Canis lupus familiaris: one gene and its partners. The protein of the gene in region 1 interacts with the protein of each later gene in a pairwise test. Links are inferred from orthologs where the notes say so. Each region holds a gene or a part of one and is shown in the gene's direction. Other genes may lie near its edges.

The links.
Region 2: the proteins of DISC1 (region 1) and CCDC136 interact in a two-hybrid assay, tested with the Homo sapiens proteins (2 studies listed by BioGRID and IntAct). The link is inferred for Canis lupus familiaris from reciprocal best matches to the Homo sapiens genes DISC1 and CCDC136.
Region 3: the proteins of DISC1 (region 1) and CRNKL1 interact in a two-hybrid assay, tested with the Homo sapiens proteins (2 studies listed by IntAct). The link is inferred for Canis lupus familiaris from reciprocal best matches to the Homo sapiens genes DISC1 and CRNKL1.
Region 4: the proteins of DISC1 (region 1) and MEMO1 interact in a two-hybrid assay, tested with the Homo sapiens proteins (2 studies listed by BioGRID and IntAct). The link is inferred for Canis lupus familiaris from reciprocal best matches to the Homo sapiens genes DISC1 and MEMO1.
Region 5: the proteins of DISC1 (region 1) and PCNX4 interact in a two-hybrid assay, tested with the Homo sapiens proteins (2 studies listed by BioGRID and IntAct). The link is inferred for Canis lupus familiaris from reciprocal best matches to the Homo sapiens genes DISC1 and PCNX4.
Region 6: the proteins of DISC1 (region 1) and EEF2 interact in a two-hybrid assay, tested with the Homo sapiens proteins (2 studies listed by BioGRID and IntAct). The link is inferred for Canis lupus familiaris from reciprocal best matches to the Homo sapiens genes DISC1 and EEF2.
Region 7: the proteins of DISC1 (region 1) and ZNF197 interact in a two-hybrid assay, tested with the Homo sapiens proteins (2 studies listed by BioGRID and IntAct). The link is inferred for Canis lupus familiaris from reciprocal best matches to the Homo sapiens genes DISC1 and ZNF197.

The regions. Positions count from the first base shown.
Region 1 is NC_049225.1:8,197,446-8,201,453, reverse strand, and holds part of DISC1 (disrupted in schizophrenia 1 protein), read left to right. Parts: intron 1-1,189; coding exon 1,190-2,184; intron 2,185-4,008. UniProt on the Homo sapiens protein: Involved in the regulation of multiple aspects of embryonic and adult neurogenesis. Required for neural progenitor proliferation in the ventrical/subventrical zone during embryonic brain development and in the adult dentate gyrus of the hippocampus.
Region 2 is NC_049235.1:7,706,588-7,711,280, reverse strand, and holds the start of CCDC136 (coiled-coil domain-containing protein 136), read left to right. Parts: upstream 1-1,812; 5' UTR 1,813-1,832; coding exon 1,833-1,890; intron 1,891-2,631; coding exon 2,632-2,739; intron 2,740-4,358; coding exon 4,359-4,601; intron 4,602-4,678; coding exon 4,679-4,693. UniProt on the Homo sapiens protein: May play a role in acrosome formation in spermatogenesis and in fertilization.
Region 3 is NC_049245.1:3,678,262-3,682,829, forward strand, and holds the start of CRNKL1 (crooked neck-like protein 1), read left to right. Parts: upstream 1-1,532; 5' UTR 1,533-1,536; coding exon 1,537-1,710; intron 1,711-3,307; coding exon 3,308-3,460; intron 3,461-4,568. UniProt on the Homo sapiens protein: Involved in pre-mRNA splicing process. As a component of the minor spliceosome, involved in the splicing of U12-type introns in pre-mRNAs.
Region 4 is NC_049238.1:25,286,158-25,290,165, reverse strand, and holds part of MEMO1 (protein MEMO1), read left to right. Parts: intron 1-764; coding exon 765-907; intron 908-4,008. UniProt on the Homo sapiens protein: May control cell migration by relaying extracellular chemotactic signals to the microtubule cytoskeleton. Mediator of ERBB2 signaling.
Region 5 is NC_049229.1:35,527,652-35,531,347, forward strand, and holds the end of PCNX4 (pecanex-like protein 4), read left to right. Parts: intron 1-1,874; coding exon 1,875-2,126; 3' UTR 2,127-2,741; downstream 2,742-3,696.
Region 6 is NC_049241.1:55,976,694-55,980,570, forward strand, and holds part of EEF2 (elongation factor 2), read left to right. Parts: intron 1-331; exon of another isoform or gene 332-396; intron 397-472; coding exon 473-651; intron 652-858; coding exon 859-964; intron 965-1,407; coding exon 1,408-1,521; intron 1,522-1,751; coding exon 1,752-1,890; intron 1,891-2,059; coding exon 2,060-2,255; intron 2,256-2,862; coding exon 2,863-3,121; intron 3,122-3,554; coding exon 3,555-3,662; intron 3,663-3,877. UniProt on the Homo sapiens protein: Catalyzes the GTP-dependent ribosomal translocation step during translation elongation.
Region 7 is NC_049241.1:87,599-91,606, reverse strand, and holds part of ZNF197 (zinc finger protein 197), read left to right. Parts: intron 1-16; 5' UTR 17-95; coding exon 96-494; intron 495-2,114; coding exon 2,115-2,274; intron 2,275-2,650; coding exon 2,651-2,742; intron 2,743-3,016; coding exon 3,017-3,143; intron 3,144-4,008. UniProt on the Homo sapiens protein: May be involved in transcriptional regulation.

The DNA.
Region 1 (4,008 bases):
ATTCATGGTGTGGCGGGGCTCCATGGTGAGAACACTATGTGGGTCAGGAGAGTCAGGAGACTGTGATGCTGGTCACTCAGTCACTTGCAGGGGTTTCTGAATGCCAATTTCTCTGAGCCTCAGTTTCCTTAACTGTAGAAGGAACAGGAAGTTCCTTTAAGGAAGTTATACTTCCTAGTCTGGTTGATTCGCATAACTTTGGTAGGGAGCAAATGAAATTAATGTAGATGATGCCCATATTCTGAGTACCAATGTGCTGTGCAATAGAGAAATAATAACTAACATCTTCAGCACACTTATGTGTGCTAGGCCCTGTTGTAGGCTGTCTACCTCTAGTGACTCATTTAGTTAAGTCTCACCCTGCGAGAGAGGTACTGGTAATGTCTCCATTTTACTGAGAAGCAAGCTGAGGCACAGAGAGGTTAAGTAATTTGTGGAGGTGAACAGGCAGCAATGGCACAGCCAGGGCTTAAGCCAGGCAATGAGGTGCCAGAGTCTGCTCTCAACTGCTATACAATCCTGCCTGAGAGCTATCAGCATTTTTTATTGTTTCTATTCCTTTTGCAGAGCTCGAGGGGGACATAGTCCCTGGTTTGTTGAGCACATCAAGCAGGGCCTCCCGTGGTCCACTGTGAGAGATGAACTGATGGCCATAAATTGTGCCCCAGCTGGCTCTCCATGGTCCAGAGACGTGCTGGGACACGGAGAGCTCAGATAATGAAAACTCACATATTGTTCAATAAGGAGCTAGAATAAGCGATCGGATCTTGTTTTGAGGAGTGTGCTGGCATTTGCCTCCCAATTGTTTGCTTTCAGGCCCACTCTGGGATAAAAGTGCTGCGGTGCCTAAGAGCCCAATAGGCAAGATGCCAGAGGGTTCAGAAGGAGCCGGCGAGGTTGTAACTCCAGTGGGCATGTTGACATGCTGGCATAACTCACAGCAACGCCAGCTGCTCTGCTAAACAGAAGAGCGGAGACGCTGTGTTTCTTCTGTGCATTCCAGGCAAACACTTGGAGAAGATCGTCAGAATCTTCGTCCCGGGTTGGCCCCGTGACCACTGAGCCAGCATCTCCCTTTGACAGATACACAGAGCGGCGACCTCTAAACCTAAGATGCTCTCCAAATGCAGTTCCAGCTGAGCCAGTGAGCTTTGCGTGTTGATGGTGCTGTTTTCTCTTTTCCTCCTAGGCAGCCAGGATTGCATACCACCTGCAGCGTCTTTTCGGAGGAGGCGGCTGGCACGGAGGCCGGGCTACATGAGAAGTGCAGCTGGGCCCCGGATCGGGTTCCTCTACCCAGCAGTGGCCGCTCCGTTCCAGGCCCAGGGAGGGGCGTGCGGTGAGGAGTCCCACCAGTCTGAGTCCAGGGCCGGACGGTGTGGCCTTGATTCTGGAGGCCAGTGGCGAGGCCCCTCGGTTGGGAGCCCTGTTCCTAGGAGCACAGCAGCCTCGGCTCCGACCTCTGGGGGCTACCTAGGCCTGGCTCTGACCCCTGTGAGAAGGCCCTCGGGGCTCTTTGGGATTCAGCTCAGAGCTGGCACCAAGCCACCTGCCAGGCCAGCCAGGTCGTGTGGCCCTGGGGACACTGGGTGGCAGGGGGAGCTCCCATCCATGGACAGTTCTGAGGCTCCAGGTCCTGGCCGGGATGCTGCTGGAGGCGGTACCTGGACAAAAGGCTGTCTGTCTCCAGAGGAGGCAAGTGGCAGCAGCTACAGCCTTGGAAGTGTCCCCAAGGCCCCCCCAACCCCTGCTGGCTCTCAGGATGCCTTTACGTCAAGCTTTAGCTTCATACGGCTCTCACTTGGCTCTGCTGGGGAACGTGGAGAAGCTGAAGGCTGCCTGCCATCCAGAGAGGCTGAGACCCCTTGTCAGAGCCCCAAGGAGGCGGAAGTGAAGGCTGCCAGCATGGACAGGCCCCACGAACATCCTCGACTCTTCTCTCCCCACTTCACTCTCAAGACTATTCCCAGCCTGGCGGACTCTGCCCAGACCACAGGGGGCAGCCACAGGCCGGAGTGTGACATGCTTTCTTTGTTGGACACGGACACTGCCTCCTCCTGCTCCCCAGGCCCCTGGCGGTCTGAGGGCAGCAGCCTGGGGGAGGCTCACCTTTGGGAGACGCTGCTCAGGAGGTGCGAGCCTGTGCTGCTGGACTGCCTGCTGAGCGACCGGAGGCAGCTGGAGGTTGGTGTCTCCCAGCCTCTGGGGGCCCGCGAGTGTCACGAGCTCAGGCCAGCTTTGGGCAGAAGGCAGGAAATGAGTAGTTCTGGGGTTGACCACCGACTTCCCTCTGGGAGCTGCAGCAGCTCCTTTTGTAACTGACGGCAAAAAGATGTTGCCGTAGTTCTGTTTCTTCTCTTTCTGTTTGCACACAAATCTGTTCTTGTTCTTGTCTTCTCTGTCACTTGAATGCTCAGATTTGCTCTGTGTTGAGCAGCAGGTTCCTCTGCAGTTCCTGGCCTACGTGATGTGTGGTTAGCTCTGCCCAGCTCTGCTTTGAAACAGGGAATTGGGGGCAGAGGCAGGGGAGCTGGGGCTGGCTGGCCTGTGGTTGAGTGGTGTGAAGATGGAGATTGACGCACCATATTGGGGGTGAGGCTGAGCTTCATTTGCATTTCCTGCAGCCCTTGCATTTCATCCTGCTCAGTGGGCCCTGCCTGACGCAGCCAGGAGACTTTGCTCCTGGTCATTACTTTGGTCAGGCTCTCAGTTTCCTTATTTAAAGATGGTAACCTTGCATGGGATTTTCTGTGGCTGCAGTGAGAAGCTAAGGGCTTTTGGAAGCTAGGGGGGGCTGTATACATGCAAACTCTGGCATCATGAGTGTGTTGTGCACCCTGTTATCAGAGAGGTGGTTACAACTGTGAATAGGCAGGGTTGTTCTACCTCCAAAAAATCCGAAGAGAAACCCAGCCTGAGATGCTTTGTGGCTGACCCATTGGGCTATGTGACTGCATTTTCCTTCTGTGTGCATATGATGTGTGTGTATGTGTGCTGACATTTGTACACATCCACAAGGAAGTAGAACAGCTACTCATCAGGCATTTGGTGGAAATACCTGAAAATGTGAAGGTCATGTTCATTCCAGCAATTGCATCTCATTTACTTTCAAATCTTTATGTGTGGCCTGATGTTCCTGGCCCTGTCCCTGTTTGCCCTGTGCCAGCCCTTGGGGACCCCAGCCATATGATTTATATCTCAAGGAGATTGTGAAGCCAGGCTGGATATGCAGACAGGGCTCTGTTCCCAGGTGATGCACAGAACCCTCTAGTTAGATGTGTTCAAAATTGATGTCATTGTCTTCCCCAGCAAACCTGTTCTAAAGGGCCCTAGTCTTGGTACATATATTTGTTGATTTTAATTAAGAGCATCCGTTCAGTTTTTTAGAGAAATTGCAAGCATCTTCAACACCTCTCTCATCCTCATAGTCCTGCAGCTAACCTCCCTCTCACAGCCGCAGCCTCTGCCCTGGTTCAAGTCCTTGTTATTTTTAACGTGGGTTTTGTAAGAGATTCTTGACATATTTGCCTTTCTCAGTGTCTCTTTTCCAGTTCATTCTCCGGATGGCCAGCAGAGTTATCTTCCGGAACACTGGTGGGATAGTGTTATTCCTTGGCTTGAAACCTTTGGTGGCTCATTGCTCTTCTCGGGATGGTATCCAAGTTCCTTATCCTGATAATTGAGACCTTTCCCAACCTGCTCCAGCCTGCCCCAATGCCTTACTCCTGCTGGCTCAGCCATCTGGTGCTGCTTCCTGTTCCTGAAGACACTAGGGAAAGCTGTGCCTCAGGCCTTTGGTTACAGTTCTCTCTGCCTAGAATGACCTTCCTACACTTTTCTACCTGCCACGCTCCTATAATCCCTTTGGTGTGGGTCTGAAGCCATCTCCTTGTGAGATGTTTCCTATCCTCTCTGGGCCAAATGATGCCCTCTTTCCATGTTCCCATAGCACTCTGGACATGCCCCATGGCACCACTCATCACATTTAATAATAATTTGTGGGTCCAA
Region 2 (4,693 bases), on another chromosome or scaffold:
GCAGAGCAAACAGCTATTGGGCTTCCAGCCTTCCAGTGTTGTCAATGCCCAGGCTCTGTGCACCCATCCTGACGCCTTGCCACCCCCACACCAGCCTTGTCTGGACAAGCCTGATACCTGGAGCAGGCTCTCTGAAAGGGGTCTTCATGGGCTTGTTCAACAGCCTTTCCCCACATCTGGATCACCTTGACCAGAGGACCTGGGGTGTAATCCTGCCCTCTGGGGAGCAGATGAAACCTCCTTGATCTGTGTTCATCATCTTTCAGAGCACCAGGCTGGGGGGTTTGAGAGGGAGGGAAAAAAAGGAGGTGGAGGGGAGGGAGGGAGAGAAGAGACTTACAGAACAACATTATATTTAATAGGCAACATTTCACTCCATGTGAAATCATGTGTTAAATGATAAGACAGAGTATTAATTGTGTAGTTGAAAGATTTACCTTTCTCATTTATTGTGTCAGATACTTTGTCAGATGCTAGACATACACAAATGACTAAAGTACTTCCCAATCTTCCAGAAGTTGGGCAGACACAAAAGTAAAAACCTGACCTTGACAAAGTGACAGGTGCTACCCCAGGAGTAAAGAGGACAGTGTGGAGCACAGCAGGCCTCTACTGGTCTAGGGGTGGGCATCAGGAGAGGCTGCCTAGAGGTGACTCCTGACTGAGGGTTGTAGAATAAGTAGGTATGTCTAGGCAAAGGAAGGCTTCTTTCCTGAAGAATACAGAGGGCTTGTGAACACAGACAATGCACGTCCATAACCTGGTGAGTGGATAGCCAAGAAAAGGGATTGGTGTGTGTCCCTGGCTCAGGAATCTCCTAACACTTTCCTCGATGCATTGGGACTGCCTGGTTCCCAAGTGTATCCACTTCTTTCCTGGGTGAGACCTGTAGAGACCTGAGAACGATTGCCTCCTCTGATCCCGCACCAGGTAGATGTGCCCTGAATGAACGATTACGTGAAACAAGCCCTCTGGGTTTCCACGTCTCCCTTGTATGAGAGTGAAAATCAGCAGTGCCCACTCGGAACAGGCTCCAGAGGCAGGGTGGGTGGAAGTCGTGCATCGCAGCTCCTTGGGTGTGGGGCCAGGGGGGAAGGCAGAGTGGTGGAGGGAAGAGGTCTTCAGGCAGTGAGGGCTGCGAGGGGCCAAGGCACCGCCCTCCCGAGGGGGTTCGGGCTCTGGCTTGGTTGGGGCGCGGGGAAAGCAGGGGGGTCAGGGCCCTGCGGGTCACAGATCTCGGCCTTGGCTTCCCTTCTCCTGCCTTGACGCGGTCAGTCCCGGGACGCAAGAGGCCACCGCGCGGGGGTGGGGGCTGCGGCCGGGGTCCGCGCTGCCTGCGGAGGTGGGGGACGCGGGCCCCGCTTGGCGGGCGTGTGTCCGCGCGTTTGGAGGAAACAGCAGCGGAGGATGCGTCCAGCTTTGTGCTCTTCCTGCCCCATCCCCGCGCGGGACGGGGCTCGTCTGACACTTGGCCCCGAGGGGTCTCCGCGCGCAGCCGGCCCGGGCGGGACCCTTCGCCGGAACCAGGCGACCTCGCGGCCACTCCGGGACGGCCTCACGCTCCGAGGGCGCCCCCGCCCCCGCCCCCGCCCCCGGCCCCCGGCCCTGGGGTGAGTCTGGGGCCGGGCTCCGTCGCCCCCCGCGCCCGCTCGCCGCCCGGGTCCCGGAGGGCGGTGGAGCGAGGGCTTCCGGGCGGGGGTGGCGTCAGGTGGCCCGGCCAGGCCCCGCCCCCTCGGCCCGCCCTCCCTCCCCTGCGCACCGGCTCCGGGTCCCCGGCCTGGCGGCTGCGGCGTCTCCTCCGGGCGGCGACGGCAGCGGCGGCGCGAGCGGCCATGGAGGCGGGCGCCGGGGCGGGCGCGGGCGCCGCGGGCTGGAGCTGCCCCGGCCCAGGTCAGAGCCGCCCCTCCCTCACCTCTCCGCCGCCACTCCTTCCTCTTCTCCATCTCTCCTCCCTCCAGACCCCCACGTCCTCGCTCTCCCCCCTCTCCCTCCGCCGCTCCCACCTTTCCGTCCTGTCTTCCTCCCTCATCCTGCCCCTCACCCCGGGCCCGGTCTCCATCTTTCCGGGCTGGGTCTTCCCCACACCGGTCGCATCATCCCCTGGCGGTCTCTCGCCCTGCACCCCTCCACCCCGTCGGTCCGGCCCTGGGCCCCAGACCCTGCGCCCCCTCCGGCCGAAGGCTCGGAGCGCAGGGCGAGGATGGGGTGGATGGGTCCAGGCAGAGAACGGAGCGGAGGGGAGCGGCCCCGGCCCGGAACCCCTTGCCCCACGCATCCCCCCGCCCCGCATCCCCTCCTTCCCCTCCTTGCACCACCTCACCCTCTCAGCCTCTCTGCCCTGGCTCTCGCCCGTCTCCCTTCACAGCTAAAGAGACTGTGCTGGGAGAGGAGCCTGGAACTGGGGATGCCGGGGAGGTTGGGCAGCGCAGGGCGGGATCCCCGCAGGCCCAGCTCGAGGGGCGGCTGAGGGAGGAAAGTCGCAGCCGGGGCCGCGTGAGCCGAGCACTTCCACCTGGATTAAAAACTCTGGGGCTCCAGAGGGCTAGAAGGCACGTCCCCCTCTCCCTCCTGTGCACCCCAGCCCCCAGCCCCCTTAGTAGCCCACCGTGCCTCCTCTCTTCCTACCCACAGGACCCACAGTGACCACTTTAGGCTCCTATGAAGCATCTGAGGGTTGTGAGAGGAAGAAAGGCCAACGCTGGGGGTCCCTGGAGCGGCGGGGGATGCAAGCTATGGAGGGTGAGTTTTCCCAAAGAGCTTTCTTTCTCTCCCCTCAGCCAACTTCCCTTCCTTCCTCCTTACCCCATCTGGTCCCCAGAGCTCCCAGCCAGGACAGAGCCCTTCCTGTAGCTCACCTGAGCCCCCTCTACCCTTCAGGTCTGAAATCTACCCCTCCTCAGGGCTCAGGCTTTGAGGGAGGTTCTGGGTGCCTCCCTTTGGGGCCCTAATCACCAGCTAACCAGGTTGTGTGTCCCGGGGGGAGCTGCCAGACAGAGAAAGAGGCCTCGTTGGACAGAGCTTTGAAGCAGGCCTTTCAGCAGGGGGTTTGTTCTCACTGCCACCCGACCCAGATCCCAAGCTGTCTCATATTTTTGAAAAGCAGGGAAGTGAGCATGTGAAGTGAGCATTGTCCTTCTGGTGCCACCACCACTAACTTTGAATGTAAGCCTTTGTGGCTTTGGTTCTCTTAGGATCCCTTACAGCCTGAAAGAATTGCCTGGGAGGGGGCAGGTGAGAAGGCCAACCTCCCAACACTCATGTATCCCCACCGCACCCATGTTACTTGACAGTTGCTGCCAACACCAGACTCCTGGAAGGATGCTGATCCGTTTCCCAGGACTCCCTGTGAAGTGTTCCCAGGTCTCCACGCACACTGTGTGGGCAACCCTGCTCCTTTAAGGGGGACAGATGACACAAGGGGTCCCAGATGGACCTTAGGCTGCTGTCATGAGACCAGGGATTCAGAATTGTAAAACAAAGCAAATAATCAGTATCCTGACAAAATGTCGCTATTTCAAGGAACTGCATTGCAGCAAAGGAGGGGGTACTCACCAACCAGAGGCTGGGGACCAGTGCACCCCAGTTTCCTGATGCATTAAAATGGTAGGCTTTTTTTTACACACAAGTACAGCCTTGGAACTGAAACCTGAAGTTTCCTTCAGGTTTGGGGAGGGAAGTTAGGAGGAGGGAACTCATAACACTTGAGGAAGGGAGAGGCCTCCTAACAGCAGAGAAAAGGAAGTGGACTCTGCAGAAAATTTCAGAACAGCCATGTGATAGAATACATTTGAAAGGGCCTCAGTATTGGTCCAGTAAAACATTTAAAATCACTTCATTCAGATGTTTTCTTTTTCTAACTACCGATAGGCAACCCTTTCTTATTCTGGAAAAGCTAATTTCTTCCAAGCCACCTGGATAATTTTTTAACTTTGGACAAACCCCAGACTTTAACTCTTGTCCCATTTGGCCTAAAGACACGGCCAGCATCTGAATCCTTTCTTGAGTACTTGTCCCACTATGCAGAGACCACCAGGACTGCAAGAAGCATGTATCCTTGTGCAAGCTCACATAGCTAACCAGCACCCAGCTGCTCAGTTTGCCCGAAGTCAGTAGCAAGAGGCCACCTGGTACAATACTGGTCCAGGAAGGGCCTGGGTGGGGATGGGCTACCTCCAAACTTGACCCTTACACCTGAGGACTCATCACCGAGTGCAGGTCCTGCCGAGGGGGCTCCTTGGGGGACACCAGGTGGCACTATTATACCATCTCTGCCCTGGGACAATGAGCAGAAGGGCCCTTGAAGGACTCTGGAAAAGAAGTTGCCTCTGACCCCCTGGTGGGATGGGTTTCTCTCCTAGGGGAAGTGTTACTCCCAGCTCTCTATGAGGAGGAAGAGGAAGAAGAAGAGGTGGAAGAAGAGGAAGAGCAAGTGCAGAAAGGTGGCAGTGTGGGCTCCCTGTCTGTTAGCAAGCACCGGGGTCTGAGCCTCACAGAGACAGAGCTGGAAGAGCTGCGGGCTCAGGTGCTACAGCTGGTGGCAGAGCTGGAGGAGACCCGGGAACTGGCAGGGCAGCATGAGGATGACTCCCTGGAGCTGCAGGGTGAGTGCCTGGGAGGGGGCCAGAGGGTCTGGGCTCCCCGGATCCCAGGATCATGCCTGCTGCCTCTCTCACTGCAGGACTCCTGGAGGATG
Region 3 (4,568 bases), on another chromosome or scaffold:
GGGACATCACAAAAGGGAAACATTTTTTTTTTATTTTAATAGTTATTGGTTTATTTTGTTAGGCGACTTTATTTCAGTCATATAAAATCTCATTCAACTTATTTAAAATTTGAAAAGTGAGATAACTTACAAATATTTAAATAAGTACATAGGTAGAACAGAGCTATGGCAAATATTTTTATACTGGTTACAAATGACTTCAGTTAACGTTTTCTCAATAGCACTATTTACGGAGATAGATTTAAATACATAAAATACACACATATATTTATACTTATGAATATTTTTTCTGAATACCAAAAGAGCCTTGCAATTGTAAAAATTTCTTAACCAGTGAGCTATCACACCACGAAGACAGGGAGGAAGCCCAAATGCATATAACAAGTGAAAGAAACCACTCTAAAAAAGCTACATACCGATGCAAATGACACAACATTCTGAAAAAAAGCAGCCCTAAAAATTTTTTAAAATCAGTGGTTATAGGAGGCAAAAGGAGAAGGAGGAATAAATAGATGGAGCACAAAGGATTTTTAGGATGGAAAAACTATTCTTTACCATTCTATGATGGTAGATACAGGTCACTAAATTCCATAGAATGTGAACCCTAATGTTAACTTGTGAATAATGAGCTGTCAGTGTAGGTTCATCAATTACAAAAATGTACCACTCTCACGGGGAATATCGATTGTGGGGGCAAACGGGACGGCAGGTGTGAGAAACAGAAATTCTCTGTACCTTCATTCAACTTTTCTGTGAACTTAAAACTGCTATTTTAAAAAGTCTTTTTAAAAAAAATTCTCTTCACTATTTGCTTGCATAAAATTAGCTTTTTCTTTTGAAGATAGGTCAAGAATTACACCAGCTAACATTTACGGAGCACTTTACATAGATTTTCTCCTTAATGATGATAAAATAGATACTATTCTTTTTGTCTCACAGCTAAGCACCATGGGGCTAAGAGAATTGATGTAATTAAGGCACATTTACAAAAAATTAAGCATCTGTTTATCTGACCACAAGGATGGTTTATTTGCTAGTACTTTGATGATTTATTTTCATTTTTTTCTATTATTTGGCTTTAAGATGCCTTCAGTTACTTCACTTGTGCACAACTGTCCAGAAAAAAAAAAAAAAAAAAAAGAGACCTCCAAGACTACAAAACCTAGAACGCAACGCGGCGCCAGGCCACCTAGGAACGCAGCAGCTCGCCCCTTGGCATGCTGGGAAAGGAAGTTTTCTGGCCTACCTCTCTGCCCCGACCCCAAGCCTCCGGATCGGAGCTTTGTTCCTTTTGCCCTTCCCCGGAGCCACGGTTCGACCGACCCACCCATCCTCGCAAGTCCTCCCAGTTCCGGAGACTGACCTGGGGATGCGCCCCTGGCGCCCCGGACTCCGTCCCCGCGCCCCTGTCGGGCGAGCCAGCACTACCCACCTCTCCCGCAACTCCGAGACACTGCTCTCCGAGGAGGACGCTCAGCCCGGTTACCACAGAAACGAAGTTGCCGGCGTCACGGCGCGTGCGTGAAGTCAAAGGTCATGCCAGCAACTTCCGCTTCCTGTTTTGGGATCTCGCTTGTTGTCGGAAATCCCTGGGATTCTGTCCAGCCCTCGGGGTCTATTTCTGGGGTCCAGGTTGAGTCGCGGTCTTGTGCTGCAGCCATGGCGGCCTCCACCGCTGCCGGGAAGCAGAGGATTCCCAAAGTGGCGAAGGTAGGAGACCGCGAAGGGCTTTGTGGGAGGAGGCCCCGGAGAGGGGCTTGCCCCAGCCTCCTCGGGGCCCGCGGCGGAAGACTGCCTAGAGCCATCCTACCCCGTGTGGATCGAGTGGAAGGGTTGGCAGGCGGTGGGGCGCAGGCTTTTGTCGCCCCGGAGACGCTCCCTTCCCACGCCGCGTTGGCGCGGCCTTCTTTCTAGGGCGTGTTTTTGCGGAGGGAGGAGTGGGGTCATTCGGCAGGATTTAGGCAGCGCGCTAGGCGCTGGGGAAGGAACTACGACCTAACGCGGGCAATGTGCCGTTTTCACAAATGACACGAGCCAATGTGAAATTGCCACCTTGCCGAATACGAGTGAGGCGGCGTAGGATATGCCGCGGAGTGATGGGGTTTGTATGAGGGGTATGCCGAGTCCGCTTTCCTGAGGAAGTGATGTTTAAGCCGACACCTGGTGGCTGACTAGGAGTTAGGCCCCCTGAGCCTGGAAAGAATGAGAGGGCATGGGTTGTGTAGTGGCATTAATTTAATTAAACAGTAAGTTTGGTATTATATGATAGTTCCATCGGTGACTGATACTCACTGAGTGCTTAATGTGTGACGGGCTTTACCCTGAACCTTTACGGACGCCCTCACTCCAGTCTGTCTCTCCAGCCCAGGTGGCTCTCTTGAGCTTGTCCTTTACATATCCGTTTAAGTCACATAGCACAGCATCTGTGACTGCATATGAGCTGTAGTCATTATTATCAAAGTCATTCCACACATGGCATTAAACAATATTTCTTATAATCCAATTCCATAAAATGTTACAGGGCACCAGTGGTCCAACAGATATACAGTGTGAGCCACATTATGTAATTTTAAGTTTTCCTGTAGCTACATTAAATAGTCAAAACAGGTGACATTAATTTTAACTGTATATTTTCTTTAATCCATTGTATCCAATATATTGCTAATTGAACATGTAATCAACATAGGAAATCTAATCAGGCAGTTTACTGGCTTATTTCACACTATGTCTTCAAAATCTAGTGTATATTTTACCCTTACAGTCCATCTCTATTTGGGCTCACTGCATTAGCTCATGACTACTATGTTGGACAGCACAGCTCTAAGACTTCAAGAAACTTATGGTCTGTCTAATTATGGGAATTTATTGAACTGTCTTTGATTTGAAATGCCATGAAAACAACCAAACACAGTTTGAGGCATTATCATCCACATGGGGCATAATTGAAAAGTTCTGTAAATAGAGAGTGTAACACTAGGAAAGATACAGCACACATCTTCATAAAACACCTCTAGTGAGAATTTACCTGAGCAGCCTCAAGGTTTATTATTATTCTAATCTAAAAGAGAACACTTGCTATTTTTGCTACCTTTTCTCTGAAGACTTACCTATGGCTTTGTAATAAATACCATGCATAAGAAAGAAAACTTTGTTTTCTGTTTAATTTCATAGAGAAATGAAAACCTGTCATATGAAGAGGGCATCTTGTAATAATACAAAGTTCCCATCCTAAAAAAATGTCTTTTTGCTTCCTAAACTTTGTGTGATGAGCATCTACTAAAAATGAGAATATCTTCTATCTTAAAAGGTGAAAAACAAAGCCCCAGCTGAGGTACAGATAACTGCTGAGCAACTCTTAAGAGAAGCTAAAGAAAGAGAACTTGAGCTTCTTCCTCCTCCACCTCAACAGAAGATCACAGATGAAGAAGAATTAAATGATTACAAACTAAGAAAAAGGAAGGTCAGTCAGGGTGATATTTTCAGTCTATTAATAACATTGTTATTACTTTATAGGTCAAAGTTTGCAGAATTCCTCATTGGTTAGAGAGGCTATAAGAATAGGTTAGTGTTTCTAGCCACATGAGTAATGTAACTCCTGGTTACCAAATAATTGCATTTTGCTGAACTTTACAAAATATGCCATGAATTGTCTTTTAAAGTATAAAGAGATTCAGTCCACCAGAGACATAATTTTTGGTGCAGAATCAAAGATGGAAGTTTAACAAGTGGAACATCTGACAGTTGGAAGGGGCTGGTCTTAACCAAGGTCACATTATGTACTCTCTCTGTACATTTTATGGTAAGAATTGAGACCTGGAAAAGAGCTGAGAGAGGACTTGGATTCTTCACCCTAGAATCCTCACTCTAGGGTAATTTTTTTTTTTTTTTTTTCTTTAAAGATTTTATTGGGCAGCCTGGGTGGCTCAGCAGTTTAGCACTGCCTTCAGCCCAGGGCATGATCCTGGAGACCCAGGATTGAGTCCCGCATTGGGCTCCCTGCATGGAGCCTCCTTCTCCCTCTGTCTGTGCCTCTGCCTCCCTCTCTGTCTCTCCCTCTCTCTCTCTCTCTCTCATGAATAAATAAATAAAATCTTTAAAAAAAAAGATTTTATTTATTTGTTTGTTTCAAGAGACAAAGAGCGTGTAAGCAGGGGGAGGGGCAGAGGGAGAGAGAGAATCTTAAGCAGGCTCTAGGCTCAGTGTGGAAACCCACACAGGGCTTGTATTTATGACCCTGAAGTCATGACCTGAGCCAAATTCAAGAGTCTGCTGCTTAACCACCTGAGCCGCTCAGGCACCTGTAGGATAATTTTAAACCACTAAGCCTGTTTTATCTACTTATTAGTGATGTTCAAAGAGTGATGTATGAAATTCTGAGACATTACTGAGAGGACTAGTAGAAATAGTCAAGAACATTTCCATGCTAGGAAAAAGTATAAAGTATATATTTTTTTTTCAGGTTTTTATTTAAAAAGGTATAAAGTATATTAAAGTGTCAGTTAGCTATTAGCAAGAAGAGAAAATACCAACAATTCTGCTAATAATTCTTTATATCTAAAATTTTTCTC
Region 4 (4,008 bases), on another chromosome or scaffold:
GCTGCTAGAAATTAATACCTACTTCCTTGAAGTCTACATCCACCCTAGATGCCAGTGAAATTTGAGTTATATTTTCAAACTGTCTTATATCTGTTTATTAGTATAGGTACAAGGTGCAGTTGGTGTATCTTACGGGAGCCAAGATTAAGTTTTGTGGGTCTCATTTGGCAGGTTTATTTTATTTTATTTTATTTTATTTTTTATTTTTTATTTTTCTGATGCAAACACACGAGGGTTTATTAGCAAGCTCGAGCTTAGGTCCAAGTATGCCCGACACAGCGGAGCAGGGACTTGGGACCCATTTGGCAGGTTTATAAAAGTGCCAGAAGTGGTGGTTTTTATAACAGGATAGGATTAAAATATTAAGGAAGAGTTTAATGCTCTTTTAAAATTGCAGAAAGGTTGGGCAGATGATTGTAGCTTTGATGTGTAGTTGAGAAGACTTGATTTGGTGATGGTCTGATGGGCTTATTTTTATTTTGAAGATATTATTATACCTGGTAGTAAATTAGCTTTGTTTATCTAAAGAACTATTGTACATTTCTGTAATTTGAATAGATATTTTTAATATTCTGTATCTCTCTTATTTTTAAATGGTCTTCTTTAAACATTTAATTTATAGACTAAAAAATTCAACAGTATGTATCTTTCCCTTACCATTATTAATAAATGTTCCACTTTTTAGTGCCAACACATTGGAAAACTATTTTTATTCTTATACTTCTTAAATGACTTTTTTTTTTTTTTTCTCTGTTTTCTTTAAGCCATAAGGATGAGTTTACCATTATTCCTGTACTGGTTGGAGCTCTGAGTGAGTCAAAAGAACAGGAATTCGGAAAACTCTTCAGTAAATATCTAGCGGATCCTAGTAATCTCTTTGTGGTTTCTTCTGATTTCTGCCATTGGGGTAAGTTCTAGATTTTAACATATCATGATAGATACTATATACTTGTGGTTAATGGTATCTTTTCACTCTAAGCTCTGATTTTCAGTTCTTTACCATTTTCCTTGGAAAGTTTTAGCTGCAATGTTTAAAAGTGAATAAAAAAGTCTTTTAAAAAGGATCAGATTATTATAGTAGATTATGGATACATTTCCAAAGGCGACTGGTATAATTGGATTCACACTGTGAGGGCATCCTTGCTTTAGCTACTTACATTAGTGGGAGTTAAGATCTTTTAACCCCTATTTCCAGGTTGAGTTGTGTGGTAGATTCTCGGAAGTTAGTTTTTGGTAGATAAAACCAATGTTCTTCTTTAGAAGGTAGAAGAGCACTGTGTGCTATGCCAGTCCTTTTCCACATTTCTTTTTCTGTAATTAGTGTTTTTTCTTTCTATTTTTCCTTTGGTGCTTAATTTTTGCCATCAGTTTAGAGGTACCCTCCAAAGAGTGTAATATGTTGGCTGTTAGCATTGTGGTTTTCACTGGTAATGGCTAATACGAGTAAGAACTCTTATGTGATTTTTGTTATTATTGTGAATAAAAAAAGTAAGGAGACTTCACAGTGAATAAATCATAAAAAGACATTTGTGGATGCCTCTTTCAGTAAGTTTTATTTTTTGAATCTTTGAATACAGTTTGCTATCCTTTATCCATTGCTGTTCTGGATAGAGTATTTCTGATTCCTATTCCTTTTAGGACCTCTCTCATTGGCCTGAGGATGCCAGTTATCTGTTCATCCTTTAGTTATTTCTTTTATTATTGAGAAAACATAAGGCACAAGTCTGTACATTTTAAGATAGAGTACTTGAATTGCCAGAAAAACATCCTCTGTGAGATACAGGGAGCCCTGGCTTTTATATGTCTTAAGCATTGATTATCAAATCTGGCTCACTATTTTTCTGGCCTCATTAGGCTGGTATTTTCTCTTACCTTGCTCTCTGAGTGGCTTTGAAATCATTTTTAAGAGAGCCATCCTCCCTTATAGATACGTATTTTGGTTTAAGGCACTAATTTCTCATCTGGGGCTGATTGTCTTATGAGGGGGCATTTGGAAATGCCTGGAGACATTTTTGGTCATTACCTTGGGATGGGGGTGGGAAGCGGGGAGGCTTTAGGCATCAATTTAGTGGAGTACAGAAAAGCTGCCAAATAAACATCCTTCAGTACACAGAACAGCCTTCCTCATCAAAGAATTATCCTGCCCAAAACACGTAGTGCTAAGGTTGGGAAGTCCTGGTTTAGGCTGTGCTACCTTACCTAAGAGACTCTCAAGTTTCTTTATAATAATCAGTTCTATTGGCTAGTTGGTTTGCTACCTTTGGCAGAAGTTATTTTTTATGGATTTTAAGTATATTACTTAGATCTGAGGACTAGATAGATGCTTGGAAATTCTGATGTTTAGTCGTAGTTGATCTTAAAAACTAAGGAGTATCATTATTGAAAAAAGGATATTTTTCTTAGTGTTGTGAATTTGTGTTGATAATAAAGCATGTCCACATGTCTTAGAAATTAAAAATTCTTGAAGTGTGTGTCCCCTCCCTCTTCACTTTTAAGGCTCCCATGAATCACTTTAAATTACTTTTATGATCTAGAGAATTAGTTCCCCTGATATTGTTCTTTAGAATCTGGTTGGTATCATGTGCAATCACAGTATAAATCCACACAAAAATCAGTAGATGCTTTTCTCTTAAATCATTCTTTTTACCTCATTAATGAATTCTAAAGCAAACAAGCTCTAGTCCACTACTGTATTTAAGTATAATATTGAGAGAGAAAGATGAGTTTTTATATTCTACCTAGATTCTTAGAAAATTATTTAGGCCATTTGATCTCCAGTGTTCTAGAAAATTCTGGTGTTTAAATTTGTAAGCTAGGATTTCCTGGTGATAACTACAGATGATAACTCAAAATTTCCAAAGGTTGGTAGATGTTAGTTATGAGAATTATCCAGAGATTAAACATATTTATATTTACATTTGGTCGTTAAGTAATAGAACTTTTCCAAGTGCTTATATTTTTTAGTATCACTAACAATACTCATAAAGTGCTTAGTTTGTACTTTGGAAAGCACTGTACTAATTCTTATTAGGAAATTTGATAAAGATCTGGGGATAAGTGGAAGGTACTTATAGATACTATTAGATACTATTCCAAGATTGGTAGTTCCCCTTCTACAATAGTAACTGTCATTCTTGTAAAGTAAGATTCATTTTCTATTTTATATGCCTAGTTGAATTAATACGAATCTTCGGCTAGTTATGGGTTAAAATGTCTTAGAAATTTTCATATTTCTCAAATTACGTGCTCTGGTGGCTTTGGTCATCTTTTCTAAATTAATGAATGATATACATCCATTTCAAAAATCTAGCTTTTTCTTGTGAGGATATTTCTTAATGGTTTTTTTCTTCTTCTTCTTCTGTTTTTTTGTTTGTTTTTGTGGGTTTTTTTTTTTTTTTGTTTGTTTTGTTTTGTTTTTTGGTAAAGATACTGTATAGATTGATTTTACCATATCAAAGTAATGTTAACCCTGAATTCTAAATAATTTCACAGGAAGGATTTAGTTCCTTAAATACTCAGAGATCTTAAAAGTTCCATTGAGTTATACTGTCAAACACACTATTACATTTGTAATAGCTAATTTTTGAAGAAAAATTGCTTAATTGATTATGGTACAGTTGACAAATTACTCAGATACATATAGAGGAATTTTGTTTTTGTTGAATAGAGTACTGGCAGTGACAGCATTTTTCATTTCTAGTCATTGTTTCTATTATGTACAGCTTCTGTTTAAAATAAACCAAGAGATTTGGTGATAGAGACAGTTGGGAGACCTATTATGTGATTGGAAAGGTTTTGCCTGGTTGATTTTACTTGTTAGCCAATGTCTGTTACAAGAGTGACTTTTTTTGTGTGTATGCTTTGCTTTAAAGATGTTCATCTTTCAGATCCCATTTAAATTTTGTGTGGACTTGAAAAAGACATTAGAGAAAAAGTAGAAAGACTAAAACATTCTCAAATTTTCTTTTTGGGTGGGAAAAGCCAAGGGAGAGTGGAGACCTAGATTCT
Region 5 (3,696 bases), on another chromosome or scaffold:
ATTTAAGGTGACCTAAATTCAGAATGATCTTAACTCAAGATTCTTAATTACATGAGCAAAGACATAGCCCAAATAAAATTTACAGCTATCATTAGTACTGGGATATGTCTTCTTTAAGATATAGTATTCAGCCAACTGCAGACCCTTACTTCATACTATATTCAAAAATGAACTCAAAATAAAGACCTAAATATAAGAGCTAACACTATAAAAATCTTAGAAGAGAACATAGGAGTAGATCTTTATATCTCAAATATGGCCGTGGATTCTGAGATACAACACCAAAAGCATGAAAACAAAACAAAAATAGATAAATAGGACTTCATCAAGAGTAAAAAAAACCTTTGTGCTTTAAAAGATACAATCAGAGGCACCTGGGTGGCTCAGTAGGGTAAGCATCTGCCTTTGGCTCAGGTCATGATCTCAGGATCCTGGGAATGAGCCCCACATCAGGCTTCTTGTTTGGTGAGGAGCCTGCTTCTCCATCTCCCTCTGCCTGCCACTCCCCCTGCTTGTGCTCTCTCTCTGTCAAGTAAATAAATAAAATCTTAAAAAAAAAATACAATCAAGAAAGCGAAAAGACAACTCACAGAAAGGGAAAAATATTTGCATATATCTGAGAAGGAACTTGTTACTAGAATATTCTAAGAACTCTTAAAACTCAATAATAAAAGGGCATTTTTATTTAAAATATGAGCAAAGGATCTCTATAGATATCTATTCAAAGGAGATCTACAAATGGGCAAAAATACGCCCATGAAAAGATGTTGAACATCATTTGGTATAAGAGAAATGCAAACCAAAACCACAATGATATATCACTTCATATAGGACATACTATGATGGCTGGAATTAAAAAAGCAGATAAGTATTGGTGAGGATATGGAGAATTAGAACCCTAATATAGTGCTGGCAGAAATGTAAAATGATACAACCATTTTACATTTTGGCAGTTTCTTAAATGATTAAACTTAGAGTTACCATATGACTCAATAATAGAACTCAATAATTCTGTTCCTAAGTACACATACACCCAAGAGGAATGAAAGCATAGTTCCACATAGAAACTTGTACATCAATGTTTATAGTAGCATTATTCATAACTGACAAAAGGTGGAAAAAGTCCAAGTATCCATCAACTATGAATCCATAAGAAATTGTGTTTTATCCATACAATGGAATATTAGTCCACCATAAAAAGAAATGAAATACTGATATATGCTGCATGAATGAGGCTTGAAAACATTATGCTAAGGTAAAGAAGCCAGTCACAAAAGACCACATTTTTTATTATTCCATTCATATGAAAAGGCAAAACTATAGAGATGGAAAGTACATTAGTGGTTGCTTCTGACTGAGAGAATAAAGGGATAGGAGGGTAATTGCTAAAGAGTACAGGGTTTCTTTTTTGAGGTCATGAAAATGTTCTAAATTGTAGAGATATTTATATATATTTGAGTATACTAAAAATATTGAGTTATACACTTTACATGAGTAAATGGTATAGAATGTGAATTATATCTCAATAACACTGTTTTTAAAAAGAGTCTATTGTGTAATTATCCACTGACTAGTATTTATGACTGACTTATCTCTGTTGAAGCCGGATGGGATGAAGGAATAGAGAAGGAAAGGAAAGAGAAGTGCTGAGATTTTGCTGTTTGGGTTATTGAATGAATGTCATTTCAAGCTTATTCAGAGAGCTACCAAATAGAGGTGATTCTTGATTATGAAGACAAGTAACTTGTGTGTACATTTTAATACACTATTTTCTGTTTAAATTTGCCTAACCACAATGGAATTTTTCTCTGAGTTTATAAATAAAATATAAAGGCTTGAATGTAATCTCTTTATCCCCCTTTTATACTTCAAAGGGAGTTTACACTGGGAGAGTACTTACTCTTCAAGAAATGTTGGTCCAAGTTGGGAAGTTAAATGCTGAAGCTGTTAGAGGTCAGTGGGCCAATCTTTCATGGGAATTGCTTTATGCCACAAACGATGATGAGGAACGATATAGTATACAAGCTCATCCACTACTTTTAAGAAACCTTACGGTACAAGCAGCTGATCCTCCCTTGGGATATCCAATTTATTCTTCAAAACCTCTCCACATACACTTGTATTAGAGCCCATTTTGACTTGTAAGTGTATTATCCTCAATTGAGATGTTTTTATTTTTTCATTCTAGAAGAGTAACAATGTTATTCCTTATAATTTCACTGAACTTCTCTTTTTCCTCCTACAAGTCAGATGCCTGGGAAAAGCAATCTGTGTAAAGTTGATTCTCTTAGCTATCTTAATGATTAAAAAAGCAAACAAACTTTGTCTAACATAAAAGTTAGAACTAGTTGGCCAATATTTGTGCCCTATGAACTGTAGTAGACTTTAGCAAATATGAAACATTTGTATAAGATTATGTAATGAGTTTCTTAATGTTTTCTTAAATATGTGATAGGTGACTTGCCTTACAGAAGTCAACAACAATGTTGACTTTTACTAGAAGATATACACACATATCAGTGTTTTCATGTAATGATAATGGGTCCTATTGAAAGTTGCATAATGTGTATATATTTATTCGAAATATTAAATTTTATAGTATTTTCAAACTGTGCTGTTTTAACGTTTAACATGGTCTGAGTGTCTTCATATGATCTATTCATTTTCTTTTCATATGCTTCAATTCATAAACCTTAAAAGCTTTTAATAAAACATCTTCCAATAAAATATTTTCCTTCCTTTCCCAGTATCCTTTTGATATATGTGAAAGGAAACGGGTTTACCTTGTTCATCAGAATTAAGTGTTTGGGTACAACATAATGAGTGACTGCTAGAGACCATTCTGTAGATGTGACTTCTTAAGAATTTCTTCTCAATTAAATATACTGTTTCTGGAGAATTACTTGACCCACTAGGACTAGTGGTTACTAGTGTCTTAGGTATCTAAAGGTAGAAAGAAAAATTTTCATAATACGAACAGAATTTTCATTCTTTTGCTGCTTATAGGTACAGAGGTTGATGGTTGCATGAGGAAGTGGGTAGGGGAGGATGAAATGGGTGAAGATCAAAATGTACAAACTTCGTTATAAATAAGTCATGGAGAGGCATGATACTATAGTTAATAATGCCATATCACTCGCCTGAAAGTTGCTAAGAGTATATCTTAAAAGTTCTCATCACAAAAAAAAAAAATTTATAACTCTGTATGGTGACAGATGTTAACTAGACTTACTGTGGTGATCATTTCAGAATAATATATACAAATATTCAATCATTATATATACCTAAAACTAATGTTATCTGTCAGTGATATTTCAATTTTTAAAAAATAGTAAGCATTTTCTAAATTCCATGTCCATTGTAGCCAATAAAAAATATTAAGCTATGGCTGCTTCCTGGTGCCTGGTGATTCAGTTGGTTAAGCATCCGACTCTTGATTTTGGCCACACACCACTGAAACTCAACCAAAATTTAAAAAGATGAAATAGACAATCCCAATATCTTATAACCATTAAATAAGTTGAATTTTTGGGATCCCTGGGTGGCGCAGCGGTTTAGCGCCTGCCTTTGGCCCAGGGTGCGATCCTGGAGACCCGGGATCGAATCCCACATCGGGCTCCCGGTGCATGGAGTCTGTTTCTCCCTCTGCCTGTGTCTCTGCCTCTCTCGCTCTCTCTGTGTGACTATCATAAATAA
Region 6 (3,877 bases), on another chromosome or scaffold:
GCTTAACTGCCTATTGAAAGTGAGGGTTCCTCCACCAGCTTGCTGATGTCACACGTCTCCCAAGGTGGGGAACCACAGTCCTTAACTCGCACTGGAAGGGCTCTGGTTGAGAGGGTGCTGATCTTGGGGACTATTGATAGCACTTCTGAAAGGTTTGCCAGGACCTGTAGAGTGACAAGGGGCCTGGATCATTTTTGTAGCTATTTCATCTGGCACTTGGGGTGGGGGGGGGAGCTGTGGGGTAGTGGGTTCTGCTTGCTGTCTGTGCTCACCAAGTTTATGCACACCTTTTCCTTGCTCCTCCAGAGGGGATGGCGTAGAGTTGGGCCTTGTAAGTGATGACTAAAATTTCTTCACTTTGACCTGATGGCTGTTGAAGAAAACTGACGTCTGAGGCCCATGGTGCCCAGGGACTCTTGTGCTTTCTGTACAGCTGTTTACTTCCGCTCATAGTGTTCTCTGACCCTCACAGATCGACCCTGTACTTGGGACCGTTGGCTTTGGGTCTGGACTCCACGGTTGGGCCTTTACCTTGAAGCAGTTTGCAGAGATGTATGTGGCCAAATTTGCTGCCAAGGGCGAGGGCCAGCTGGGGCCTGCTGAGCGGGCCAAGAAAGTGGAGGACATGATGAAGAAGCTGTGGGGTGACCGGTGAGTACTGGGGGAGGTGCAGGGCACTCTGGTACCTGTGTGCCGGGGCAGGGACCTGCCTGCAGTGGTGGGAACATGACTAAGGGCCACCAAACGTCTGTAGGGTCCTTCTGCCCAGCTTGGTTTCCTCACTCACTTGGGTCTCCTGTTTCTCCAACCCATCTACCATCGTTGAGTTGGTGAAATACTCCTGTACTCCTCTGCCAGGTATTTTGATCCAGCCAACGGCAAATTCAGCAAGTCAGCCACCAGCCCTGACGGCAAGAAGCTACCGCGGACGTTTTGCCAGCTCATCTTGGACCCTATTTTCAAGGTGAGCTGCTGAGTGTGCTTCATGGATGTGCGTCCCCTGGGCTGTCCTTGGGCCTGGTGGCTCCCGGAGGATCTGTTACCTGACCTAACTGGCTGGGCAGAGCTGGGTTGACAGGTGGGTGCTGGAGGAGGGTGAGGTTTGCCTGGTAGGAAGCAGCTGCACATTTCCAGTAACATTCCTGAACCCATCTTCCTGTTTTTTTTTTTTTTTTTTTTTTTTTTTTTTTTTTTTTTAAATTTTTATTTATTTATGATAGTCACAGAGAGAGAGAGAGAGAGAGAGAGGCAGAGACACAGGCAGAGGGAGAAGCAGGCTCCATGCACCGGGAGCCCGATGTGGGATTCGATCCCGGGTCTCCAGGATCGCGCCCTGGGCCAAAGGCAGGCACCAAACCGCTGCGCCACCCAGGGATCCCCCATCTTCCTGTTTTTGTGACTTGTCAGGTGTTTGATGCGATCATGAATTTCAAGAAAGAGGAGACCGCAAAGCTGATTGAAAAGCTGGACATCAAGCTGGACAGTGAAGACAAAGATAAGGAAGGCAAACCACTTCTGAAGGTGAATGCGGATGTGCCTCTTGGGGTGGGCCTACCAGCTTTGCACTGACTGGAGCTCTTTGTCATATCTTCCAGTCATGTCCCCATCACCAACAGGGTGGTCAGGGGATCTGTGTTGTTGGCACCTCCCCAGGAGGGGCAGCTCAGAATCTAAGTGCCTCTCACCAGGACCTTGGGCATGGCATTCTGAGGGCTTTGGGCCTTGCTTGACCTCCCTGTCTTCTCCTGTAGGCTGTGATGCGCCGCTGGCTACCTGCCGGGGATGCTTTGCTGCAGATGATCACCATCCATCTGCCTTCCCCTGTGACAGCCCAGAAATACCGCTGTGAGCTCTTGTATGAGGGCCCCCCAGACGACGAGGCAGCCATGGGTATGTGAGGATCACCTGCGTCCTGGGGTTAGATTGTTGGGCAGAGGCCTAAGTATTTTTGTGGCTGTGGTCAGGTGGTGATGCTCATTGGCAAGTCCAGGTCACAGGGTTCTGTGAGGGTGAGCTCTGAGGGAATCACATGTTTTGTTTTGGGAATTCCTCTTCACAGGCATTAAAAGCTGTGACCCCAAAGGCCCTCTCATGATGTACATTTCTAAAATGGTGCCAACCTCCGACAAAGGTCGGTTCTACGCCTTTGGTCGTGTATTCTCGGGGCTGGTGTCCACTGGCCTGAAAGTCAGGATCATGGGGCCCAACTACACCCCTGGGAAGAAGGAGGACCTGTACCTGAAGCCCATCCAGAGGTGAGGTGCCCAGCAGCTCCTGGGTACGTCCCAGTCTGGTCCATATCCAAGATTATCTCTTTCCACAGGGAGGGTGACAAGACATAATGTGGTCCAGAGAAGGGTGGAGGACCCTTGAAGCTGAGGGAGGGAGTGATTTGTCTGGGTGAGGCGCACTGCGCTAGTTCTGACTTGGACAGACCTGGCCCTAAGGTCAGGGTGGTGGCACGCATCTGCAGAGCCGTCTCGAGAGGCTAGTGGTAGTCACCATTCCCTGGCTCCTGGTGTGGGTAGTGGGAAGAGTGAACTTCCATCTCTCCAGCTTCTTGCAGCCCTGATTTTCATTGGTTCTCAGGTTCCCGTGACAGTCCTATCAGTGCTAGGTTGGGTGTGGAGCCCTACATAGGGGAGTCGGGGAGGAGCAGGTGGCTTCTGCTTTGGGGTAAGAGAGCTGGGACTTATTGTCACAGGAACTGGGCTGATAAGGTGAAACTAGGGCTAGGGCCTGAGGCTCTGGGAGTTGGGTTCACATCAGCATTTCAGGTGGATGGGATGGCCACAGGCTTTAGAAGGAAGGGGTGTTTTGGGGTCATTTCGGGATCTGGAGGGTTTTTTTTGTCTTCCCTAGAACAATCCTGATGATGGGCCGTTATGTTGAGCCTATTGAAGATGTGCCTTGTGGGAACATTGTGGGTCTAGTGGGAGTGGACCAGTTCCTGGTGAAGACTGGCACCATCACCACCTTTGAGCATGCCCACAACATGAGGGTGATGAAGTTCAGCGTGAGCCCCGTTGTCCGGGTTGCTGTGGAGGCAAAGAATCCAGCTGACCTTCCCAAGCTAGTGGAGGGTCTGAAACGGCTGGCCAAGTCGGACCCCATGGTGCAGGTAGGTGGGTGCCCTGGCAGATGGGAACACCGCGGTGCAAGTGGTTAATTTGTGGCTTACATAGGGCTTGTCACAGATTTACGGATATTCAAATCTTGGAAAGTCTGGTGTGTGCTGAGCATACACTTTCCCTGGCAGAGCTACTGTGTGACAAGGTGGTGGCTTTTTTCTGAGAAATCTAGTTAATTCTTTGTATACCAGTTCTATTTTTATGGTTTGGCTGTGGAGCAGATTGTGAGGTTAACGAGAATAGCAAAAACACAGCTCTTGCTGCCTTTTACGAGCCCTGAGTTGCCACAAAACCCATTTCTGGTGGGTCTGGTCTTCTCTATCTGGAGGGAAACCTGGAGCTTTATACCTGTTCCTAGAATTTATTGGGGTCTCTGAGTGTCTTGGGGTCCGTGCCCAGAGCCTAACTCCTGGCCCATTGCAGTGCATCATTGAGGAGTCCGGGGAGCACATCATCGCGGGGGCTGGGGAGCTGCACCTGGAGATCTGTCTGAAGGACCTGGAGGAGGACCATGCGTGCATTCCCATCAAGGTGAGGCCTGGCTCTGGGCTCAGATGGCTGGAGGCCTGCGTTTTCCAGTACAGAGCAGGACAAGTAGACTGCATAGTCCACGCTTCCTTGATGTGTTTGTCAGAAAAATGTGCTATTATTAGGAAACCGTTTGCATATGTGTTCAGAATGGTTGAGGTTGCAGTGTGAGGGCCCTGCTTTTTTTTTTTTCTTTTTAAGATATTTATTCATGAGAG
Region 7 (4,008 bases), on another chromosome or scaffold:
GAATGATTTCTTGAAGTCTTCTAGATAATGTTCTCCAAGCTTTAAGGAAGAAGTCAAGCAAGGATTGAGAGGGCCTGGAGAGAAGTCTTTCTTAAATGACAGCAATGACAAGAGAAAATTGGGCCCACAGTGCTCTGAGACAAGAGGGTCTTGTTAAAGGGAAGGATGATACCTGGAAATGGGGAACCAGCTTCCAAGGAAGCAGCTCCTCTGTTTGGGAGACCTCCCACCTGCACTTTAGACAGTTACGTTATCATGAGACATCTGGACCCCAGGAAGCACTGAGCCGGCTCCGGGAGCTCTGTCGTCGTTGGCTGAGGCCAGAAGCACGTACCAAGGCCCAGATCCTGGAGCTGCTGGTCCTGGAGCAGTTCCTGAGCATCCTTCCTGGGGAGATTCGGACCTGGGTGCAGATCCATCGCCCTGGGAGCTGTGAGGAGGCCGTGGCTTTGGTAGAGGAGCTACAGAAAGACCTTGATGGACCAGCATTAAAAGTGAGAAAGGGGGAGGGGAGAGATTTGGGATGGAAGGAAGGAGAGAATTAAGGCAGGGTGAGCTGGGCTGGAGGCTGATCCTATAATTTTCATAAATAATTAGTAGCACATTAGCAACCCTAATGCTTATTACAGCAGGTTCACGAGCTATTTCAGATCATAGAATATCTGCAGAGAAATGGATTTATGATTGGTGTCTTGTTCCTAATTCAGAATTAGCAAAAAGGCATTGACTGCACTTTGTTCATCTGGTGATGCTTGCTAATGCTGAGTTTGGTTCAGTAACCTAAAGAACAGGGATCCCTGGGTGGCGCAGCGGTTTGGCGCCTGCCTTTGGCCCAGGGCGCGATCCTGGAGACCCGGGATCGAATCCCACATCGGGCTCCCGGTGCATGGAGCCTGCTTCTCCCTCTGCCTGTGTCTCTGCCTCTCTCTCTCTCTCTCTCTCTCTCTGTGACTATCATGAATAAATAATAAAATAAAATCTTTAAAAAAAAAAAAAAAACCTGAAGAACATAATGTTTCTAAGTGTTCCCCTAAAAAAAAAATAAGTGTTCCCCTAAACAGGAGCATATGTATTATTTGTATAAGTCTGTTAGGAGTGACGAGGTAAGCCTTGATTATAAAAGGCAGTGAGAAAACAGGACTAAAGCTCTCTAAATCTGGCAGGACCTCCCCATGTGTGCCCTAGGGCCAAGGGATTGGGTTGAGATACTTAATTTTAGAAAGATTTTATATCCTTGACCATTAAATTGGGATCTTAATATATTTCTCAGTGTGTGTATGAGATCTCTTTCTGTCAGTTTGTAGTCCACTAGAAACGTTATATGTAAGAAGTCTGAAACAAACTTAGGAGAGGCACCAAGGATGAGCTTGTTTATTTTAATCATAAAAATGAATTTTATTTATAAGAGATTTTATTTATTCATGAGATACTCAGAAAGAGAGGCAGAGACACAGGCAGAGGGAGAATCAGGCTTCCTGCAGGAAGCCCGATGTGGAACTCAATCCCAGGACCCCAGGATCATAACCTGAGCTGACAGCAGATGCTCAGCTGCTGAGCCCCCCAGGCATCCTCAAAATGAAGAATTTTAGAGCTATATAGTTCCTCACAAAGCTCTAATCCATCCTTATTTGAGAGATAGATAAATGGAGGCTGGATTGCCTTATGTCCGACATTTAGCTAGTAGCAAACATGTGTCTAGACTCTGGTATTCCTTCTGTTGAAGCAGGAAGGAATAATAAAGGGGTAGATAAGTAGAAGAGTATATTGAACCCAAGTCTGATCTAAAACCAGGTCTGAGGCTAAAATCTATACTCTTAATTATTACTGTAATTTCCCTTTCCCTCCTTAGCCCACACCCAGGTCTGGCTTCTGTTTCCATCATTTTGTTCAGTTTCAGTGGGAAAGGCCACCAGTGCCATGAATGGGCTACAGGGCCAGCTCCGTTGTTGTCAAGGCAAAGCTTTATTGCTGTTTTGATGTTCCATACTTGAGGTGGGTCTCTTATCTCACAGTTCTTGATTGTGGGCAGAAAGAGGTCCATAGTTGTCAGGTGAGTCTATTTTCTGTAAGTACAAGAAGAGTCAGCTTATTTATTTTGTTTTGCTTATTCCCAGGTTCCAGTTCTTGTTCAGGACCGGGACATTCTTCAGGAGGGGATGAGCACTTCAGGAACTGCAGTTCTTCATGTACCCACTGGCAGCCACATAACAACTGAAATTTGCCAAAATCCTTTTACTGACTCACTCGTGTTCAGTCTCCAGGATGCTCAACATGGTACTTAGCGATCCTGGCTTTGGACTTTGTCAGGGTCTTTATTATGGCTCATCCTCCTACTCACAGTTAGTTTCTTCCTCTCTTCCTGTCTTGTATATGAAACCCTTATGGTACCAAATTCTTTCTGTTGTTCCCCTGTCTGTCCTTTCCTGGATTCCTGTGACCTTTTATCCATTCTTACTGCTAATCTTCTATTATTCCAGTACTGTACCTGGGGGTCACTCAGAAAAAGGTTTGTAAGTCATTTTATGGCCACCATTGTCTAGTTCTGGAAGTTCTGGGTCTTTCTGAATTCCCTGTTTGTAGAAGAAACAATACTTGGAGTAGTGGTCAGGAACAGCAGTAATTTCACATGCAGCTTTTTCTCCTTCCTCAGATTCTCCTGCCCCTGAAGCTTCTGCCCTTTCCCAGGAAGAGAACCCAAGAAATCAGTTAATGGCCCTCATGCTCCTAACAGCCCAGCCCCAGGTAAGATTTGCATTCTCTTTCATTCCTAAGGCCCTCCCTGTACTACCAGACTGTGGCTTAGGTATCCTCTGTCATCCTAGTGTTTGGGGCCCAGTTAGTTCCTGTCTCTATCACAGTCCATGCAATTGGAAGGTAGACTTTATGTGGGGTCTCCTTGATAGCCCTTGCTCACTTCATGGCCTCATAATGTGTCCTTTTGCCAGGAATGTGAAAGGAACTTTTTGCTAGGGGAGCTCCTGGACATAGATAATCTCACACATACCTATTATTTCAGGAGTTGGTGATGTTTGAGGAGGTGTCTGTATGCTTCACTTCAGAGGAATGGGAGTGTCTGGGCCCGATTCAGAGGGCCTTGTACTGGGATGTGATGTTGGAGAATTATGGAAATGTGACCTCCCTAGGTAAGGACTCTTTCTTCCCATCAATTCTTACCTTTAATTCATCAGCCTTTGTTTTCTGACTATGAAATTAGTATATACTTGTTTTGGAAAACATAGAATATTAGAAGAAAATATAACTTAAACCCACACAAGTTTTTCCTGTATGAGTTTCTTTTTGTTGGCTACATAATTGTGCCGTAATTCAGCCATTTCCTTATTCTGGATAATTTCTGTAATAATCATCTTTCTCTATACCTAAAAGTCTTTATTTCTCATTATTTTTATTAGAAGCAGAGTTACTAGGCCTAAGTGTTTGAATTGTTTTAAGAAGGTTCTTCTGTCATACTGCCAAATTGCTTTCCTTGGTGATCTCTGTCCTCATGGAGAGGTACATAAGAACACTCCTTTTCTTCTGTCTTTATTGGTACTGTGTAGTCCCATTGTTTTAAATTGCTGCTGATATGATTTTTTTAAGTTGTAATATCTTTATTTTCTGGTAGATTTTTATGACTAGTAATAAAGTCAGAACACTTAAAAATATTTAGTAGCCATTTGTGCTTGCAACAAACATGAAAACATCTCTCATGTGGTGACAGCTGTGGAAATTATGTGAGTCTGCCCCTAAGTAGCTTATCATGGTTTGGTTGATGAGTATAGAAAGAATAAATAAGGCAGAGTAACATAATTAGTATAAGAATGTGATAAACCTTTTGAGATGGAAATGAAGAGGACAAAGCAACCAGTAGCATTCCTGACGTTAGGAAAGGCCATAAAGGAGGTATCTTTGTGTTATTAGACTTTGAAGAAAAAGGTAAGATTTTGTTTGGACAAATATACATTAAAAATTAAGGAATCAACTAATGCACTGATCTGATTTGGACTGAAA